3 linked regions of the Canis lupus familiaris genome follow. The protein of the gene in region 2 purifies or fractionates together with the protein of the main gene of each other region. This does not show direct contact. Links are inferred from orthologs where the notes say so. Each region holds a gene or a part of one and is shown on either strand. Other genes may lie near its edges.

Region 1 (6,360 bases), on a different chromosome or scaffold from region 2:
TGAGTAATCTAATCATAATGGGAAACATTAATTCACTATAATATATATTTTTAATTCACTAGATTTTAACCCTAGTTTCTCATAAACCATTTGGCTTTAATTCTGCTTCCAGATCATTAACCTTTGAACGAAACCTCACTATAAAGGTTAAATTTTGTTGTTTCTAAAAATAAGCAAAATTGGCTTTTAATCTATGATTTAGTTGTTTTGTGATTTTTTTATTATAAAACTTATTAGAAGTACTAACAACACAGCATTGCACTGGTTTGGATATGAATCAGATACCTACTTGAATGGAAATATTTTCTAACATGGCTTTCCTGTGGAGGATAGGTGCTGCTGCAAAACCACCATTTCTATGTCCTATGATGCCTGCATAACTCCCAAGACAGTTATGATAATGTTAACCATAAGAAAGGGTTTCCTGACAGTTATTTTTTAATAAAAGAAAAAAATGACGACTACTTTTTTTTAAATGTCTTTTATTTTATTTTTTTTAATATTCTATTTATTTATTCATTAGAAACACAGAGAGAGAGAGAGAGGCAGAGACACAGGCAGAGGGAGAAGCAGGCTCCGTGCAGGGAGCCCGACATGGGACTTGATCCCCGGTCTTCAGGATCACGCCCTGAGCTGAAGGCGGCGCTAAACTGCTGAGCCACCGGGGCTGCCCTTTATTTTTATTTATTTATTTATTTATTTATTTATTTATTTATTTATTTATTTATTTATTTGTTTGTTTTTTAATTTTTATTTATTTATGTATGATAGTCACAGAGAGAGAGAGAGGGGCAAAGACACAGGCAGAGGGAGAAGCAGGCTCCATGCGCAGGGAGCCCAATGTGGGATTCGATCCCGGGTCTCCAGGATCGCGCCCTGGGCCAAAGGCAGGCGCTAAACCGCTGCGCCACCCAGGGATCCCCGGGGCTGCCCTTTAAATGTCTTTTAATATTAACTAGCCATTTGCAAGCTCTTTTTAGCTATTTAACTGTTGACTCAAGGAGAAATGATGGGGGAAACTCAGTACATAATGCAGATAGAGCAGGAGCTCTATCCCAGCTCCTAGGACCAACTCCAGGCTGGAATGATAGAGTAACTTGGGAAACTGTTTCCTTCCAGTCCAGTGTTTTTCTTGTCTCTAGACTGGGATGGCACAGGATCTTCTTGGTTTGGTAGATGAATTTTTGAAGCCCACGTGCAGCCTTGATACCATCTGGACAGACAGAAGCATGTAGTTTCTGTTGTCCTCTCTGGAGGGCTTTGTCACTGATCTCCATCAGTAGGAAGATGTTCTTCCATTTCAGAAGGCATTTTTATATTCAGAGTGAATTTTATGTGGATCTTTATGTTGGCCTACTACTCTCAGAGCTAAATGCCTACAAACCCCCCACACAAACTGTTTAGAATTATGGACGTTTCACAAGAGTAGCAATTTTGGAATTGCAAGAGCAGTGCACTGGAATTCTTTTTTTTATCATTTTTTAAAAAGATTTTATTTATTTATTCATGACAGACATGGAGAGAGAGAGAGAGAGAGAGGCAGAGACACAGGCAGAGGGAGAAGCAGGCTCCGTGTAGGGAGCCCAACACAGGACTTGATCCCAGGTCCCCAGGATCACACCCAGGGCCGAGGGCAGTGCTAAACCACTGGGCCACCAGGGCTGCCCTATGCACTGGAATTCTTATTTGAACATTTTTACTCCTTAGGTAGTTGCTGTTGCTCTCCGATGTCCAAGCGGGAATGTCCTGAGAAGAAGATTTTTGAAGTCTTGCAGTTCACAGGTGAGGAAATCCCTATTTTGAGAAATTCTTTTGTTGAATTTGACAGTAATTTACTCTCATGCAGTGGGGGAGGTATTACCACTTTCTTGTCTGGTACTCCCTTCAGGTGAGGGTAGAGGGGATTATATGTACTCTGTGTTGCAGAAATTTGATAATTCGGCATGCTGGATCTTTCTGAATTGTGATTGCAACACTTCTTTTTTTTCAGTTCTTTTCCTATTTTTTGTTTTTGTTATTAATTACTTTTTCACAGCTTGGTAGATATGATGCTTTCAAATCCAGGCACCTGTGGTGCTTAGTCAGTAGAGCGTCTGCCTTCCACTCAGGTCATGATCCCAGGGATTGAGCTCTGCATCAGACTCCCTGCTCAGTGGGAAGCCTGCTTCTCCCTCTGCTACCCTCTTGCTATCTCTGTCTCCCTCTCAAATAAATAAAATCTTTAAAAAGACAAGATGCTTTCAAATCTCTATGTAATTTTTAGATCATTCTTTAGGGGTCTTTTTTTCTCTTAAAATCAATGCTGTATTCATTAGCCATATTCTGGAAAATCTAGAAAAATAGAAAATAGAAAAAAGACTTGATCTGCTGTTTGACACCAAGGCAGATTGCTAATATTTTGGCATATTTCTACTTTTAAGCACACTTAAGTTTGCATTTTATTAGAAATATGTCTAAACACTCCAAAAAAAGAAAAAAGTATGTCTAAACAGTTTTCTGTCCTGATTGTTGGATTTAGCCATCTATGAAGAGCATGCTGAGAACTATAATGGAAAATATTGAAGGATTTGACTACATAGAAATATAAAATTCTTTTTTTTTTTTTTTAAGATTAAATCTGGGGGAAAAAAAGGATTTTATTTATCTGGAACATCTGGGTGGCTCAGCAGTTTAGAGCCTATCCTGCCTTCGGCCCAGGGCATGATCCTGGGGTCCTGGGATCGAGTCCCACATCGGGCTCCCTGCATGGAGCCTGCTTCTCCCTCTGTGTCTCTGCCTCTCTCTCTGAGTCTCTCATGAATAAATAAATAAAATTTGGGGGATCCCTGGCTGGTTCAGTGGTTTGGTGCCTGCCTTCGGCCCAGGGCGTGATCCTGGAGTCCCGGGATCGAGTCCCACATCAGGCTCCCTGCATGGAGCCTGCTTCTTCCTCTGCCTGTGTCTCTGCCTCTCTCTCTCTCTCTCTCTCTCTCTCTCTGTGTCCCTCATGAATAAATAAATAAAATCTTTTAAAAAATAAAAAATAAAGATTTTATTTATCTGAGAGAGACAGAGATAGCAACAGAGATAGCGAGAGAGAGCATGAGCCAGGGAGGAGAGAGAGAAGTAGGCTCCCCACTGAGCAGGGAGCCCAACATGGGACTGGATCCCAGGACCCCAGGATCATGATCGGAGCTGAAGGCAGATGCTCAACCAACTGAGCCACCCAAGTGCCCTGAAATGTAAAATTCTATAAAGGAAAGGTTAAGGGGCGCCTGGGTCACTCAGTTGGTTGAACATCTGCCTTTGGCTCTGGGATCAAGCCCCACATCAGGCCCCCTGCCCAGGGGAGAGTCTGCTTCCCCCTCTTCCTTTGCCCCTCCCTACCACTTGTGATTTCTCTCTCAAATAAATAAAATCTTGTTTTAAAAAAAGAGAGAAAGTTCATAAAACTAAAACTTCAGAAAAAAATATTTTACATCTATATATGATAGTCATTTCTTTATGATGAGGTATTGTACAAATCAAGGAAATTAGTAGAATGGCAGCTAAAAAAAAAATGAAGGATTTCCTAAAGAAAAAAACAAGTGACATAAAAAATTTTGGCCTTACTTAGAATCAAAGATGTGCAAACTGAAATGGGACACAATTTTCTACCTATTAGATTGTTGTAGATTAAAAAGATGAGTACGCAGTTTTGGCCTGTGTGTGGAGAAAACAGTGATTCTCCTTAATTGTTCATGTGAATATAAATTGGGCCTCTGTTCCTAAGGATAATTAATCTTTATATCTTTTGGTTCATTAATTTTTTTTAAAGATTTTATTTATTTGAGAGAGAGAGCCAGAGAAGACAAGCAGGGTGGGGAAGGGCAGAGGGAAGAGAAGCAGGTACCCCGCTGAGCAAAGAGCCTGATGTAGGGCTCTATCCCAAGACTGTGGGATCCTGACCTGAGCTGAAGGCAGGCACTTAACTGAATGAGCCACTCAGGTGCTCCCATTAATTTCATTATGAGAATCTATTCTATGGAAATAAGTGAAATGATCAAAGGTGTGTGTTTATATAGGGATTGGTTGAATTAAGGCATATCCAAATATTGGAAAATTACGAAGCTTTATGACCTAGATGTATATTTTTTTATTTTTTTAGATGTATGTTTATTACATGGAATATCAGTAGATTCTTGGATGGTGGTTACCCGGAGAAGTCAGAGATTATCTATAATTGAGTATCTGTAATTGATACTCTAGCTTCCCCCAAGAACATTCTAGGATCCAGCTTTCTTCCGAAAGCAGCAAACAGCCGTTTGGCAGACACTTTTAGACAGTAGTACCTGGAAGTTTTGACAGTTACTGTGGAAATCTTCATAACAGGAAATGTCTTCAATTTATAGGAATAGCCCATTGAAAATGGGGATCATAAGGCAGAGTCACTGGGGCCTGGACAGGTCTCTGGTGACAAAGTTCCTGAGTCATTTTGATGTGGACTATTGGCTTAGATTTTGTTCTAAATAACTTTTTCCAAGCTTACTTTTTGTTCTCAACTTTTAAATTGAATAACCTTTTTATTCTCTATGGTTGGGTCTTTCCTAAGTGTTAAATGTCCCTGCTGTCAATCAGTGCCTTTAGTCCCTAGGCCTTCTCTGAAACTTTGGAAAGGTATTTAAGGTATTTGCATCAGGGGTGCCTGGGTGGCTCAGTCAGTTAAGCATCTGCCTTCCACTAGGTCATGATCTCAGGGTCCTGGGATTAAACCTGAAATCGGGTTCCCTGCTCAGTGGAGAGTCTGTTTTTCCCTCTCCCTCTGCCCCTCCCTGCTGCTCATGCTTTCTCTCACACTCTCACTTTCTCTCTCAAATACATAAAATCTTTAGAAAGACAAAACAAAAAAGGTATTTGCATTTCACGATTCTTGGCATGCTACTTTCCTTTATACTCTAGAAGGTTCTGTTTCATTACTCTAGGGGTAATCATGCTGTTACCCCTAGGATTTAACAGTGAATGAATTATAAAATATCATTGGTGACCTCGAGGGACACAACTGTACTCCGTATTTGATAGCTAAACTTTTTATCTTCTAGGTCTTATTTGACTGGATGAAGAAAATCGGGTACCACACATCCCAATACAGCCTTTCTACTTCCTTTCCCAGACGGCCTCTGGAAGTGGGGGGAGGCTGGTCACTGCAGGACATAGGAATAACCGTGGATACTGTACTCAACGTGGAAGAGAGAGAGCAGAGCAGCTAATTCAGAAATGAGAACTACCTGTTCTACATAAAATCAGTTATGCCATGACCTTACAGGACAATAAAGGATTCACATTGAAATTACGCCATTGGCTTGATTCAGCTCAAGTAGATAAACACTGTAATGTTGATATCCTTGGGAACATAGGGACAGAGGATTAGAAAAGGATTACTCTATATACATAATAGTTTTTGGAATGTGCCATTTTACAGTGTACCAAATGAAAACTAGATAAAGATGTATTTGGTAAGCACTCAAAGATTTGTATTTTTCCTAGCCGACATCATCTATCGCTGTGTTGAAAAACAAAGTCATATGACTCGGTTTGCTGCCTCTTTGGTCCACCTGTCACACTGAACATTTCATAATTCAGTCAAATTCTCTAATGCCTGTTAAGTAGGAATGTTTGTTCTGCTGTATTTCTAGAAATTAAACCTTAAAGACATTTCAAAGGTCTTTAATGCTCTAAAGTTCTTTTCGATAATCTGATAAAGGGTTAGTATCCAAAATATGTAAAGAACTTACACAACTCAATACCCCAAACCCCCCAAATAATCCAATTAAAAATGGGCAGAAGACATGAACAGACATTTCTCCAAAGAAGACATCCTGATGGCCAATAAACACATGCAAAGCTGCTCACCATCACTCATCATCAGGGAAATACAAATCAAAACTACAATGAGATATCACCTCATACCTGTCAGAATGTCTAGAACCAAAAACACAACAACAGGTGTTGGCAAGAATGTGGAGAGGAGCCCTCTTGCACTCTTGGTGTGAATGCAAACTGGTGCAGCCACTGTGGAAAACAGTATGGAAGGAGGTTTCTCAAAACATTAAAAATAGAACTACCCTGTGATCTAGTAATTGCACTATTAGGTATTTACCCAAAGAATACAAGAATACAAAAAAAAAAAAAAAAAAAAGAATACAAGAATACTAATTCAAAGGGATACGTGCACCCTTATGTTTATAGCAGCATTATTTACGACAGCCAAGATCTGGAAGCAGCCAAGTGTCCTGTCAGTTGATGAATGGATAAAGAGGTGGGTACACACACTGGAATATGACTCAGCCATAAAAAAGAACAAAATCTTATCATTTGCAATGACATGGATAGAGCTACAGAGTA
Region 2 (6,048 bases):
CATGCATTGCATTATTCAAATGGCGGTGTATTCACATTAAAATATAGATAGGTGCAGATGTTTAGGATCAGGGAATGACATTAGATACTGATGGAAACCTTTCAGATTCACTTTAAATTTAATCCTGTTTCATGTTTAGAAATAATAATACCACCAGAAGTTTATCTTCAAAAGGTACAATGGGGGAGGAAAATCTACATAAAATAGGCCATGACAATGGTCATCACTTTTTACTAAAAATGGTGGTCCAAACTAGGGTAAATCCACCTTAGAAAATCAAGAAACTACTTTTTTAAAAACTCAGGGTCTGGGATGTCTGGGTGGCTCAGTGGTTGAGGTCTGCCTTGGGCTCAGGTCATGATCCCGGAGTCCTGGGATCGAGTCCCACGTGGACTCCCTGCAGGGAGCCTGTGTCTCTGCCTCTCTGTGTGTCTCTCATGAATAAATAAAATCTTTAATTAAAAAAAAAATAATAACCACCTCAGGGACTTGTCTACCTAACCTTAAGTCAAATTGTGAACCTATGATATATAACATATAATGGTGGTAATCTAACTTCACAGAGGCTCAAGAAACCCTTGGATGCATGAAGAAAATTAGAGAAACTTTTGAGAAACTATGACCTGTCCCCAGAAATATGCACACAAAACTTCAAGTACAGTGAGAGGTTCATACATCTTCTGAAAGCCCCCAAGGAAAGAAATCCAAGCTAGAAGGATGTCATCCGGTTACACGGTGATACACAAGTCAGGTAAATTTCTAGGTTCTTCAATAAACATTTTGTATTACTTTATACAAACTACCTTTAATAATGGACATAATTATATGAATTTCCCGTTAAGATTTAGCATCCATAAAAATCCTTGGAAATGGCAGGTTCAGCAAGAATCACCATAATGCTCCCAAAATGTTCTTTTCCTCACTCAGAAAAGCTCTAGTCATCACCAAGACTAAAGTTCTTAACTTACAAAGAGATGAAGAATCCTAGGCACATGGGACAATCAAAATAGGCACGTTCTTAAATGCAAAAGGCTTCCTTCCCATAGACTCTCATATTAGAAATGAAAATACTTCTTACAGTTAAATTAGGAATTAAATTTTAACATTAAATATCATATAATAGAGCACATAATAATTTATATGTTATCAGGGTATGAACAGAACACCTCGTGAAAACTGAAATAAATCTTTAAGAAGTTAGACCAACCAATTTACCTGGACTATTTTAGCAATCTCAATAGCTCAAATTTATATATAGCATCTGCTAACTCAATTTTGTAGATTCTCACTGAGACTTTATCCAGCATTGTGCTATATTATTATTTCTCCATCAACAATGAGCAAGATGGAAATAAAGACTCTTTAGTAAAAATGCTTTAACAAGTAGTTGTATAATAAAACTTGACAAAAGTTCAAGTTACTAAATGTGTTCAGATTTTTTTTAACTCCGAAGTAGACATGACATTACATAGCGGAGGGGGGGAGAAAAACTCCCCTGAAGTCCCTGTCCAGGAAGAACAAGAAGGACATCAAGATGTTCTAAGCAATTTCCTGAACAGCAGGAAATGAAAGGCTGGAGACGCCGAGTGTCTGATCCGTTTACTTTTTTTGTCTAAATAGGCTTACTCATTATTAACTGATGAAAGATAACACACATATGATATTAAAAACTAAAATCTAATGGTTCTACTGTCATGATTGTCAGTTAATACTCAAGTAGGAAAAAAGTTCATTTGGTTCCGTCTTCTGGAGGGAAAAAAATCTATCTCCTGGACCACTTCAGAAATGCCTAACTTTTATTTTACATTATTAACATCAATTGTAGGAGTTGCTTTCCTGGGTCAGACAATTACATCCTCCAAGACAACACTATGCTCAAGTCCATGCTGATGAAAATTTGTTTTTGGTTATAAAAGGGGTCGTATTTCTTCCTCACGTCCATAACTCATTCCAATGATTGTTTCAATCACAAAAAAATAGAAAATGTGCTGGGGGCCAACTTGGATTCTTTTCCTTCCAATGCAGAACTAGCAGACTACTTCTAAAGTGTAATTTAACTGAAAACACTACTTCAACTTCAAGTTTATTTTAATGATATGTACAAGAGTTAACAAATTACAAATAAAACGGAATCAGTTATGTTAATTTCACATAACTTAAAATCATGCAACACTGCATGGTAAAAACAACAGCTTCATTCATATACAAAAAAGTATTATTTTGAGACTCGTGATAGTATATTGAAATTTTTGACACAAGCTTTTTGCAAAGAGCATTTTATAAAAATTTAAAGACCTGATTAATCAGTTAATGCATTATTAGGAAAGATAATAAACACATTATTAGTAAAATGAGGTTACAAGCAATTAATTTTAAAATTACACCAGGTACAGGGTTGAATGTAGTCTCATGAAATAAATGTTTGGTTAAGAAAATAGTTTTGAAAAAGATCTCATACTGAAGCTATGTATTACTTTTGTCAAATCAGATCATATAAATCAATAGTCAAGTTTATTCAGTTAAAGAAAATATGCCTATCCTTTTTATACTCATAAATAAGTACTTATATAGTTTTTATATACAAGTGAAGAAAACTTCAATGTAAAAAATATACTGCCAATCCACTTATTATGGTTGAAATAGCTCTTTTTATCTACACATTAAATTGCATTGATGAAAATATCCAATTTAAGTCACATTCAACCAGCATAAATATTTAAGCTGAGTATTGTTGTAAACAATAGAGAAAAACAAATTCTTTTATTTCATCACTTGGGTAACACAATCTACTTCTCAGCTTAGAATGCTATAGAAAGGCCCAACATTTAATTTAATCAAATCCAAAACCCACTAAACTTAGAGTAAACAAAGTGAATGTTTTTCAAAGTGCATAATTTCCAACTCATCCACTTGTAATATTTATCCAATTCCAGTTCATCAGCAAGAAAATAAAATGTACTTGGCTATAAAAATACTAAGGAATGTTATTGAAAAGGAAAGGCTATTTGGTAGAAGTAACTACAAAAATAATTAGTTTAAATCTTTGTAAAGCTTTAATGCAAGAACATCAGTACACTTTCTTTCCATAAACCTTAAAGCATGATCAATACCAAGATTTTAAATTTCCACCTTTCAAGTACTTGCAAAAGGCTGCAACAAAGTGTCTCTTCAAAAATTAAGCAAGAAGAATGATCATGCAGGTGTTAATCTGCTAACATTTGGGGACATTGCTATCTGTGTTGGGCTGTCATCTCTGGCTCCACTAGTGGCAAGTACGGGCAAGGAGTCACTCTGAAATGTAGACGTAGGACAACGAGTCATGCCAATGTTTTCATCTTCACCAGTGTCTGAATCTGGTGTTGTCACTTCACTGTCCTGAAGTCCCAGGATCTCACAAACTGCTTGTGGCAATTCCTATAGAGGAAAAGTATTCACAAAATAACACTTCTACTCAAGATATGTAGATTCCAGAATCTGAACATTTATTCTAACAGTGTGATAGTTATGTATCTTTTCACACCTTCCTTATCCACTCCAAATGAAATCCTAACCACTTTTTTTCATAAGTTCCCTAATCTTCTTACCCAAATTAGTCACTCTCCACCCCACCCTACCACTCACAAATGTTAAGTTTTTTAACAGTTAGTATTTATTTCATTGCTATTATAGAATCTTAGATATTATTTTTTTTTAATTAATTAATTTATTTATTTATGATAGTCACAGAGAGAGAGAGAGAGAGAGAGAGAGAGAGGCGCAGAGACACAGGCAGAGGGAGAAGCAGGCTCCATGCACCAGGAGCCTGATGTGGGATTCGATCCCGAGTCTCCAGGATCGCGCCCTGGGCCAAAGGCAGGCGCCAAACCGCTGCGCCACCCAGGGATCCCCGAATCTTAGATATTAAACGAGAGCTTATTTATACTCCAATTTGCTCCCTCAATGTACAAGGTTCCTTAAAGAAGTGTCTCACTGGCATATTTTGAACAGAACAGCTACCAAATAAATGTTTGCAGAAGTGAACCAAAGTAAGTATTTGGAACCATGAACAAATGACACAAAGACCAAACAGAACTCTCATAAAAGTGCAAAAGCCAAAATACCTCAAAGAGAACAATTTAGGTCATAATTTTTTTTAGAAAGACTAAGAACTTGGCTAGTACAATTGTAAAGACACTCTAAATACCATTTGCTTAATTATTTCTGATTAGCATCTGTCTTTATTTGGGGATATCATTTAATAAGAGGTTCCAGTCTGTAGTCAGACTGAATAATACAGCCTCTTTAGTTGTTGCTGAAACGGTTTCATTATGTTTGCCATTTTGCTATACTATTTCTTATCTAGCATAATTAATCGACTATTTTCAATTAAGTGCTATAAATCAATAATGGTAAACAAAATGCTAACTAATGCTTGTTGTCTGCTTCAGCTTACTAAAATTGCCATTTATTATACTTCTATGAAGAAAAATTCTTTCTTGACCTCAGTCCACCAAAAACAAACAAAAAATCTTACAATTATTTAAAACACTGCACCATACCTTGCATTTTACCATCTGTAGAGAAATTGCTTCTGCCTTGCATAGTACATCTTCCACATCAATTTTCATGGACAATTCATTGATATGCTAAAATGAATCCATAAAATAAAATGATAATTGAAACTAAAAGCACTATTATATTCTACTATATAAACAATTTATTACCAGATATATTTCATTGCAGATAAAATCCTTAAAATAAAAGTATTCATACTACAAATCAGCAGGAAATTCAATCTATCTTTCAGTTTTAAAGTTAAAGAATAGCTAATAAACTTATGGGACATTAAATCTAGCAGCTGTCCCAAGTCTACTATCTCAAAGTTATAAGCAAAAGACAATTATTTTTTTTTTTTAGAAAACTAAACTACACAGAAGAGAATTTGCTGAATTTCCTTTTCTTCCTAATTACCCAGGTAAAAATAACTGGCCAGTATGTATTCATTGAACTGTCATTCTCAGAGAGCCAGTCCTAATATTAGGTGTTATTGATATAATTTAAGTTTTACTCAAGGGATTCAATCAATAAAGCTCCAAGAAAATGTTCTGTATATCAGTACCATCAAACAGACGAAAGAGCCAAAATACTCAAATTTAAATTAAAGAAATAACTACCTTTAGTATTTCATTAAACCCATAATGCTTTTCCATTATTTGCTGCTTTTCGGATTCGAGAATAGCACAACAGAGAAGAAGATGGAAATTTTTGCATGGCAGTTCAGTCCACATTACCTATAAAAAAAAATAGAACTATTTAGTACACTATATCAATTCTACAATATTTTCCTCACAGAAACAATGCTGAACTCTGAATGACTTCTATGAAACGCAGAAGGGGCCTAGATGGAGTAGACACTGTTTCTCTAGTGAGGAAATTGGGGGTAAAGTCTTACCTTTACCTACACAGGTAACTAACATCAAGTTTAACATTATGTGAGTATGATTAATTCCATATGTGGCCCTTTAGGTAACTACAGTAAGATATGACTGAGCCTAATTTATATAATAAATGGTATTAATTAAGAAGCTACATCCATGAGTTTAAGGTATAAGGGTTAGAGGCATTCTCAGTATTTTTCTGACCCTTCAGTTCAGTTTCTCACTTGTAAGTCACCTTTAATCTCGGCGGGGGGGGGCAGGGGAGGGCAAATTGTGGATATGAAAGAAAAATTCAGTTAAAGAGTACATGGAATCAAAACCACCCAGAGATAGCTCTACATTATATTACATTACACAGTGTGTCCCTGATTGTGACAAAAACTGAATCAACTACCCAAAATTTATACCTAAATGGATAAAATATTTGATCAATAGCCACACTTCTTAAATACAATGACCTCAAATTTAAAGCCTTCATTTCCTATCAATGTACATAATAATATCTTATCTAGGAAGAGAAAAAGACCCACATAAATAATACTACTAAATGCATACATGAAATGTTTTTACTTCTTTCATCAAAAGTAAATCAAGCTGAATAATTTTTGGACTAAATTCAATTTTTAATTAC
Region 3 (6,360 bases), on a different chromosome or scaffold from region 2:
GGTAATTGGGGACTCAGAGCTCACAGGGATGAGGCTCTGTATCACTGCAACAAGTATGTCTGCCAGCCAAGGGTGGAATGGACAGTAGAAGACGGAGATAATGACCAGTATGGCCTGGAGATCAGCTTCTGCAGAAGGGGATGAAATGTGTCCTATTAACCTTCCTCCTGAAGGTCTCTCCTGGGGAAGGACTGTCATTAGAGTCTTGGAGGAGCTGCTCCAAGAATTTATGTCAAATAAGAGATGCAAGCAGCACCAACAGGTGGATGCTTTGGTCTGCTGCCCAGATCCCCTACCTCCCCAGGACTGAAGTGCTTGGTCTTCCTGCTGCGGGGATTGTTGGCAGGGACACCCATTCTGTGGATAGTATGCACCTAAGGAGAGCCGGTCGGTCCAAGACCTGCAATCGCTCCCAGTGACCAGCTGGTGGAGGTTGCCAGTTTCAGCTCCTTGGCCAAATCTGGTGCAATCTGGAAGGGCTCTCCTTATCTCCACAGCTCTCTGTAAGGCTGGCTCAGACCCTCTTCATAACTGTTGTTCAGCCTCCCTGTGTCCTTGACCATCACTCCTCCAAAAGATACCAATCCTGACAGCATTCCCTGAGAAACTTCATGCATAAAACTGGGTCTGGGGATGCTAAGCTGAGCGATTCAACTTCTCTGGCTTGCTCATGAGCATGAGATCTGTAGCCATCTGATGGGATTCCCAGGTATTCCAAAAGTACCCCAGTCAATATATTTCTCCCGCCAATCTACTCTTTCGATATTGGTGAGACGGTGCTATCATCAATCTATCCCATTATTAAGCCAGAAACCTCAGAATCCTACCTTATTTGTTTCTCTCCCTCACAGCTTTGCCCTTTCTACCTGAAAAATATTTTTACTCATCCTTACTTCATTTTTTGGATGCTGGTCATTCTGAGTTCTCATACTTTTCATTCTTCCTTCTATTTCCTTGAAGAATTCAGCTCCTCCTCTTGCTACATATGAGGCTTCATCTATAGCTTCTGTTCATCTTGGATGTAATTCTCTTAAAGAACTCACCTAGCACCTAGTCAACCCTACAAAGTTGACTCCATGATCTCTACCCCCAGCTCTGACCTTTCTGAGAGGGTGGTCTGTCCTCCACATTTAACTGTATCACAGGTATCTTTGTTGTACATTCTAGAGTCATCTCAAGTTCAAATACATCTGTAGGGAACACCCTCTGCTTCTGTTTTTCTTTTTTTTTTTTTTTTAAGATTTTATTTATTTATTCATGATAGTCACAGAGAGAGAGAGAGAGAGAGGCAGAGACACAGGCAGAGGGAGAAGCAGGCTCCATGCAGGGAGCCCGATGTGGGATTCAATCCCGGGTCTCCAGGATCGCGACCTGGGCCAAAGGCAGGCGCCAAACCGCTGCGCCACCCAGGGATCCCTGCTTCTGTTTTTCACCTGTAGAGTCAACCCATTCATAAGGGACCCCTTCTTCCAATCCAGATCTAAATGCTGGGACCCATACCTCCAATGGGACATCTGGGATGCCACACTTGATGCCACTTTTCCAGACCACTGTGAGGCCTGCAGACCTACTTCTCACACTCAATAAGGGCAAGAGATAGGGAGATGGCAAGAGAGTACGGTATCCTCTCTCACACCCCAGAGGGTAAAGAAGATGGACATGAGAAATGAAGAGCCCAGTATGCTGTATCACAGGGTGCCAAAGCAAGATCACGTGTGAGGTTTTGGCTGACATATAGTAACCCCTGACAGACAAGTGTGCTATTAGAGTGTTTGAATACAGCAGTTTTTGTAGATAAATGCTCAAGATTTCCTGATATCAATGACAAGGCTAAGAAAACAGATTTGATTCATTGGTTATTCCCCTGAAACTTTCTTACCTTCATATTCTCTCCATCGAGAAGTTTTACATCTGCTCTTCACTCCAGAGCACATGATAATAAGCATTTTAACAGGAAGACACTGTGGCTTTTACAAGATTATAAGAGCAGATAAATATCATATCTTGTTAACTAGGTTGGTGTTTCTCTAAGAAATCATGTTTATTTAATAGAAGTGGAACAAGAATGTCCAGTTTGACCAGTCTTTCGGCTGCAGTTTTTGTTGTTTTTTTTTAACTTAAACACACACACACACACACACACACACACACACACACAGCTAAGAAAGCCACTATCAGAGACCTCCATCCTACCTTGAAATGTCAAATGATCCACCTTGTAATGCATAGGGGTAAAATGTACTCTCAATCACACCAACAGTCACAGAGGCGAAGTGTACTGAGACCACTGAGTATTTCTGCATTTTGAATTACTATTCTGTTGCTACCTGCTGTCTCTGCCTGTTGCTTACCTGCTGTCTCTGCCTTCTCACTTGTGCAAACTGAGAAAGCATCAGCTGCCGGTCAAGCAGCTCCATCCTTTGCTGTCTCTGGATGTCTACTGTGGCTCCCATCCCGATTCTGGCTTCAGTGGTGGGTTCTGGAGATGAGAAGATAGGCTCAAGTGTCCAAGAAAAGAACTTTGCCATCCATCTGGGAATGCAGAGCACCTGCTGGAGTTGGAACACTTTGCTGTTGTAGCAGATGCCTGATATCTGAAAGGAGAAAAGTCCAACTGGATTGTTTCAATGTAATGATATTAAAGAACATAGTAACACAGAAATCAATAACCATAAAATACTTCAGATGTGATTTTTCTTCATTTTAGTAGCACTGGGTGACAATCAAAACTCCTTCTAAGCTGCAGAATAGGAAGCAGTACAAATCAACAAAAATTTAGTCAGTGAACAAATTTGTTTTTATTAAGCTAGAAAAGACAGCAAAATTCTAACCACTTAACACTCAACGAACTGGTAAAATATTTAAAAAAAACAATATTTTCTTAAAGCCATACGAGATCTGATTATCAAAAACACTTTCACAGTGTACTAACTCTGTGGTTACTTTTATTGGCAGATGGCCATCAGAGACAGGTACTGGCAGAAAACAACTTTAATGGCCAATGATGCGATCCAGCATATAATAAATTTATCACAAAATTAGACAATCTACATTTTGTTCTAATACATTTTTCAAGTACTGATTTTTCTAGTTTCAAAATCCTTAAAAAAAATAAAATCCCTGCCAATACTAATTCACAATTCTCTTTACAAATAAGCCTATTTTTCATCTTTAAGGTAATTTGTACAGTAATAGACATCTAAAGACTATGGTTTTCTAGGTTAAAATAAGTATGGCTATTCCTTTGTAAAAAAAAAAAAACTAACAACTTGAATTTTGTGAATTTGATTTTGAGGATAAGAAGTTGAATTATTCTCACCAAGTTAGAATGTATTTGACAATGTGCTAATAGGAGAAAAGTACACTTTAATGTTTTCTTAATACAATTTAAATTAATTAGGCAAGAATTTGCTGAGCATCTACTATACCCCGGACACTGTTGCAGGCATTTAGAGGTCAGTGGAAGACAAGATCAACAAGGCCCTACTCACAGAGGTAATAGTGGTCAGTATGGAAAATTAGGGAATAAATGAGCAAACATCAAGCAAGTTCTGTGAAGAAAACAAGTGGCCTGGAGCAGGGACCGTCTGTAGGTCAGGTGTCAGGGAAGCTTTGGAGGAAGTGACATTTGAACAAAGCTCCTCAGGATAATGGGGTGGGTGCCAGGGATTTGAAGACTCAGAGGAAGAACCTTTCAGCCAGTGCAAACAGCACATGCGATGCAGCAATGGGCCTGGCAGCATCTATTCGAGATCTCAGTGGGATATCAAGTGGGCAGTCAGGTCTACACATCTGGAACTCAAGGGAAAACATAGCAGAGGTAAGGATTCGGGGCTCACAGGCACTGACGGTGGTTAAAGCCCTGGGATTAGGCAAGGGCATGGGACAAACAGCAAAAGGGAGAAGAGGATGTAGATTCAACGCAGCAATTCTCTGTGCATGGACAGAGTGGGAGAGGCCAGTGATATCACCTGGAAGTGCTGCCAAGGGAGAGGAGAAAAACTAGGAGGGCTTGGTATCACCGAAGTGAAGAGAACAGTTTTAGGCTGGGAAAAGCCAGCTATGAACCATGCAGCTCCAGGTTCAACCAGGCCAGGGAGGAAAATGAGCACTGGATTTGGTGAAATGGAAGCCCTGATGACCTTGTAAGAACAGTTCTGGTGCAGTGGTAGGAGCAAAAGACAGACTGGGACAGCTAGAAGAGACGATATAGAGGACTTTTGGTTTCAAATCATTTGTATGCCACTTCTCTCAAAAACAATACAGAACAACAAAGAAAATGGAAACAAATTCCACACTCAATGAAACTAGAAGGCATCTACAATCCTGAACCACACTAACAAAATGGAAAACACGCTGAGTAATGGAAGTGATTTCTAATGGGAAGAAAGGTAAATCTAAATGCTGGCAAGGTCTCCTGGAGCTTAGAGAGCCTCATGGATTAGAGGCACCAAGGACTGTGAAGGCAGGAGGGAAGCAGAGTCCTCCTTAACTCTGCAGGAAGGAACCCTGAATCCTGCCCCTACCCAATGTAGCCCATATCCACCCTCTCTCCTTCTCAGGGAGAAGGTAAAAGCTCTGTAGGGTGTGAATCAAAGAGGCTTTGAAGTGGGCAGAGCCTGCCCAGTGGGGAGGCCCAGGGCTCTGCCCATAAGATTCCAGACAGAGAAGAGAGGCCCTCAGTGAAGGTCTCATAGAGATTCCAGAAAAAGACTATGGGGGGAGGTGGGGAGAACAGGACAGTATTTCAAGAGATAATAGTTAAGAGTTCTCCAGAATTTATAATAAAGAATGTAAATCTCAGATTGAAAATGCAAGAGTCCCAGAAAGGATAACAAAATGAAATTTATATCTAGATGCATTGTAGTGAAACAAAGAAAAAGTCCTTAAAAGTTACCAGAGATAAAACAGACTGCCTAGAAAGGAAAAACAATTATCTACAGAACAGCAAACTGTTACAACAAACAAACAAACAAACAAACACTAAAATGCATTTGGAGGGCAGCCCTGGTGGTGCAGCGGTTTAGCGACACCTTCAGCCCAGGGCGTGATCTGGGAGACCTAGGATCGAGTTCCACATGGGGCTCCCTGCATGCAGCCTGCTTCTCCCTCTGCCTGTGTCTCTGCCTCTCTCTCTCTCTGTGTGTGTGTGTGTCTCTCATGAATAAATAAATAAAATCTTTAAAAAAATAAATAAAATGCATTTGGAATATTTAAAGCTTAAGTTTAAAAAACATAATGTGAGAAGGAAGAAGCCAGACAAAAAATGCATACATTATATGATTCCACTTTTGTGAATGGATCAATCTGATCTATCTATCCAACTGTCTATCCATCCACACATCCATCCATACCAAGGGCAAAAACGAAGGAGCAAAGCATGAGGGTGATGACCATCTGTCCTGGGAGAGCTGTCACAGGAGCAAGAGGTGCCAAGAGGCTTTGGAGGCTGGCAGTACTCTGGCCTGTATGGGTTTTTATGGGTGTGTTCACTTTATAGTGACTTGTTTGGTTTCACGACATTTATAGTTTATGAAATATTTGGGGTGTGTGTGTGTGTGTGTGTGTGTGTGTGTATCATTATAAAAAGATTTTTAAATAAATCAAAGGATCCAGAATGGCCAAAGTAATTTTAAAGAAACGTAATAAGGCTCATCAGATTTCAAGATATGATATAAAGTTTGAGTAATTAAAATAGTGTGGTCTTTATGTGGAGCTACTCAAATCGACCTAAAGAAGAGAGCATAGAAAGGCTTCGGAGGAGAAGGGCATGTGGTACCCAGCAGAAATGGTAAGTTAGAGGGAGCTCTACATCAGGATAAAGATAAAACATCCCCCCTTCCCAACATCATCTGTAAATTCCCAACAGATGAAGGAAACAAATAATTCACTGTACTTGAAATCTTTTTACACAAAATACAGAAGGCACATCTTTTTGACACTGAGATGGGAAGAATTTTTAAATAAGGACCAGATAGCACAAACTATAAAAGAAAACATACAGTTATTTACTTTATAATTTAAAAGCTATAGTATGCTAAAAGTTACCATAAGTGAAGCCAAAGGACAAGTAAGAGCCCAGAGAACACACTTAGAATCCTTGCTGCCAACAAAGGTAGTACTCAAAACACAGAACTATAAATTTCTCAGAGAAAGACAATCAATCCAACTTAAAAAGTGGATGAAAAGGCAATTTCAGAAAAGGAAATTCAAAAGGCCAACAAACACATGAAAAAGACGTTTACCCTCCCTTGTTTTTAGGGAAATGTAATGTTAAATATAATAATTGGGAAAAAATGGAAAAATCTGGGATCAAGTTTTGGTGAGGACGAGGAGAACTCCAAATGCTCACAGTCCTGA

Evidence for each region.
Region 1: the proteins of TBC1D15 (region 2) and UBXN8 purify together in Homo sapiens (affinity purification with mass spectrometry; 3 studies listed by BioGRID and IntAct, counting the BioPlex papers as one, with this or other methods). This does not show direct contact. The link is inferred for Canis lupus familiaris from reciprocal best matches to the Homo sapiens genes TBC1D15 and UBXN8.
Region 3: the proteins of TBC1D15 (region 2) and UBAC2 purify together in Homo sapiens (affinity purification with mass spectrometry; 3 studies listed by BioGRID and IntAct, counting the BioPlex papers as one, with this or other methods). This does not show direct contact. The link is inferred for Canis lupus familiaris from reciprocal best matches to the Homo sapiens genes TBC1D15 and UBAC2.

The regions. Positions count from the first base shown.
Region 1 is NC_049237.1:34,406,264-34,412,623, reverse strand, and holds the end of UBXN8 (UBX domain-containing protein 8), read left to right. Parts: intron 1-1,707; coding exon 1,708-1,782; intron 1,783-5,057; coding exon 5,058-5,225; 3' UTR 5,226-5,681; downstream 5,682-6,360. UniProt on the Homo sapiens protein: Involved in endoplasmic reticulum-associated degradation (ERAD) for misfolded lumenal proteins, possibly by tethering VCP to the endoplasmic reticulum membrane. May play a role in reproduction.
Region 2 is NC_049231.1:13,792,562-13,798,609, reverse strand, and holds the end of TBC1D15 (TBC1 domain family member 15), read right to left. Parts: intron 5,271-6,048; coding exon 5,154-5,270; intron 4,626-5,153; coding exon 4,539-4,625; intron 3,415-4,538; coding exon 3,193-3,414; 3' UTR 2,071-3,192; downstream 1-2,070. UniProt on the Homo sapiens protein: Acts as a GTPase activating protein for RAB7A. Does not act on RAB4, RAB5 or RAB6.
Region 3 is NC_049243.1:49,540,267-49,546,626, reverse strand, and holds part of UBAC2 (ubiquitin-associated domain-containing protein 2), read right to left. Parts: intron 2,595-6,360; coding exon 2,352-2,594; intron 1-2,351. UniProt on the Homo sapiens protein: Restricts trafficking of FAF2 from the endoplasmic reticulum to lipid droplets.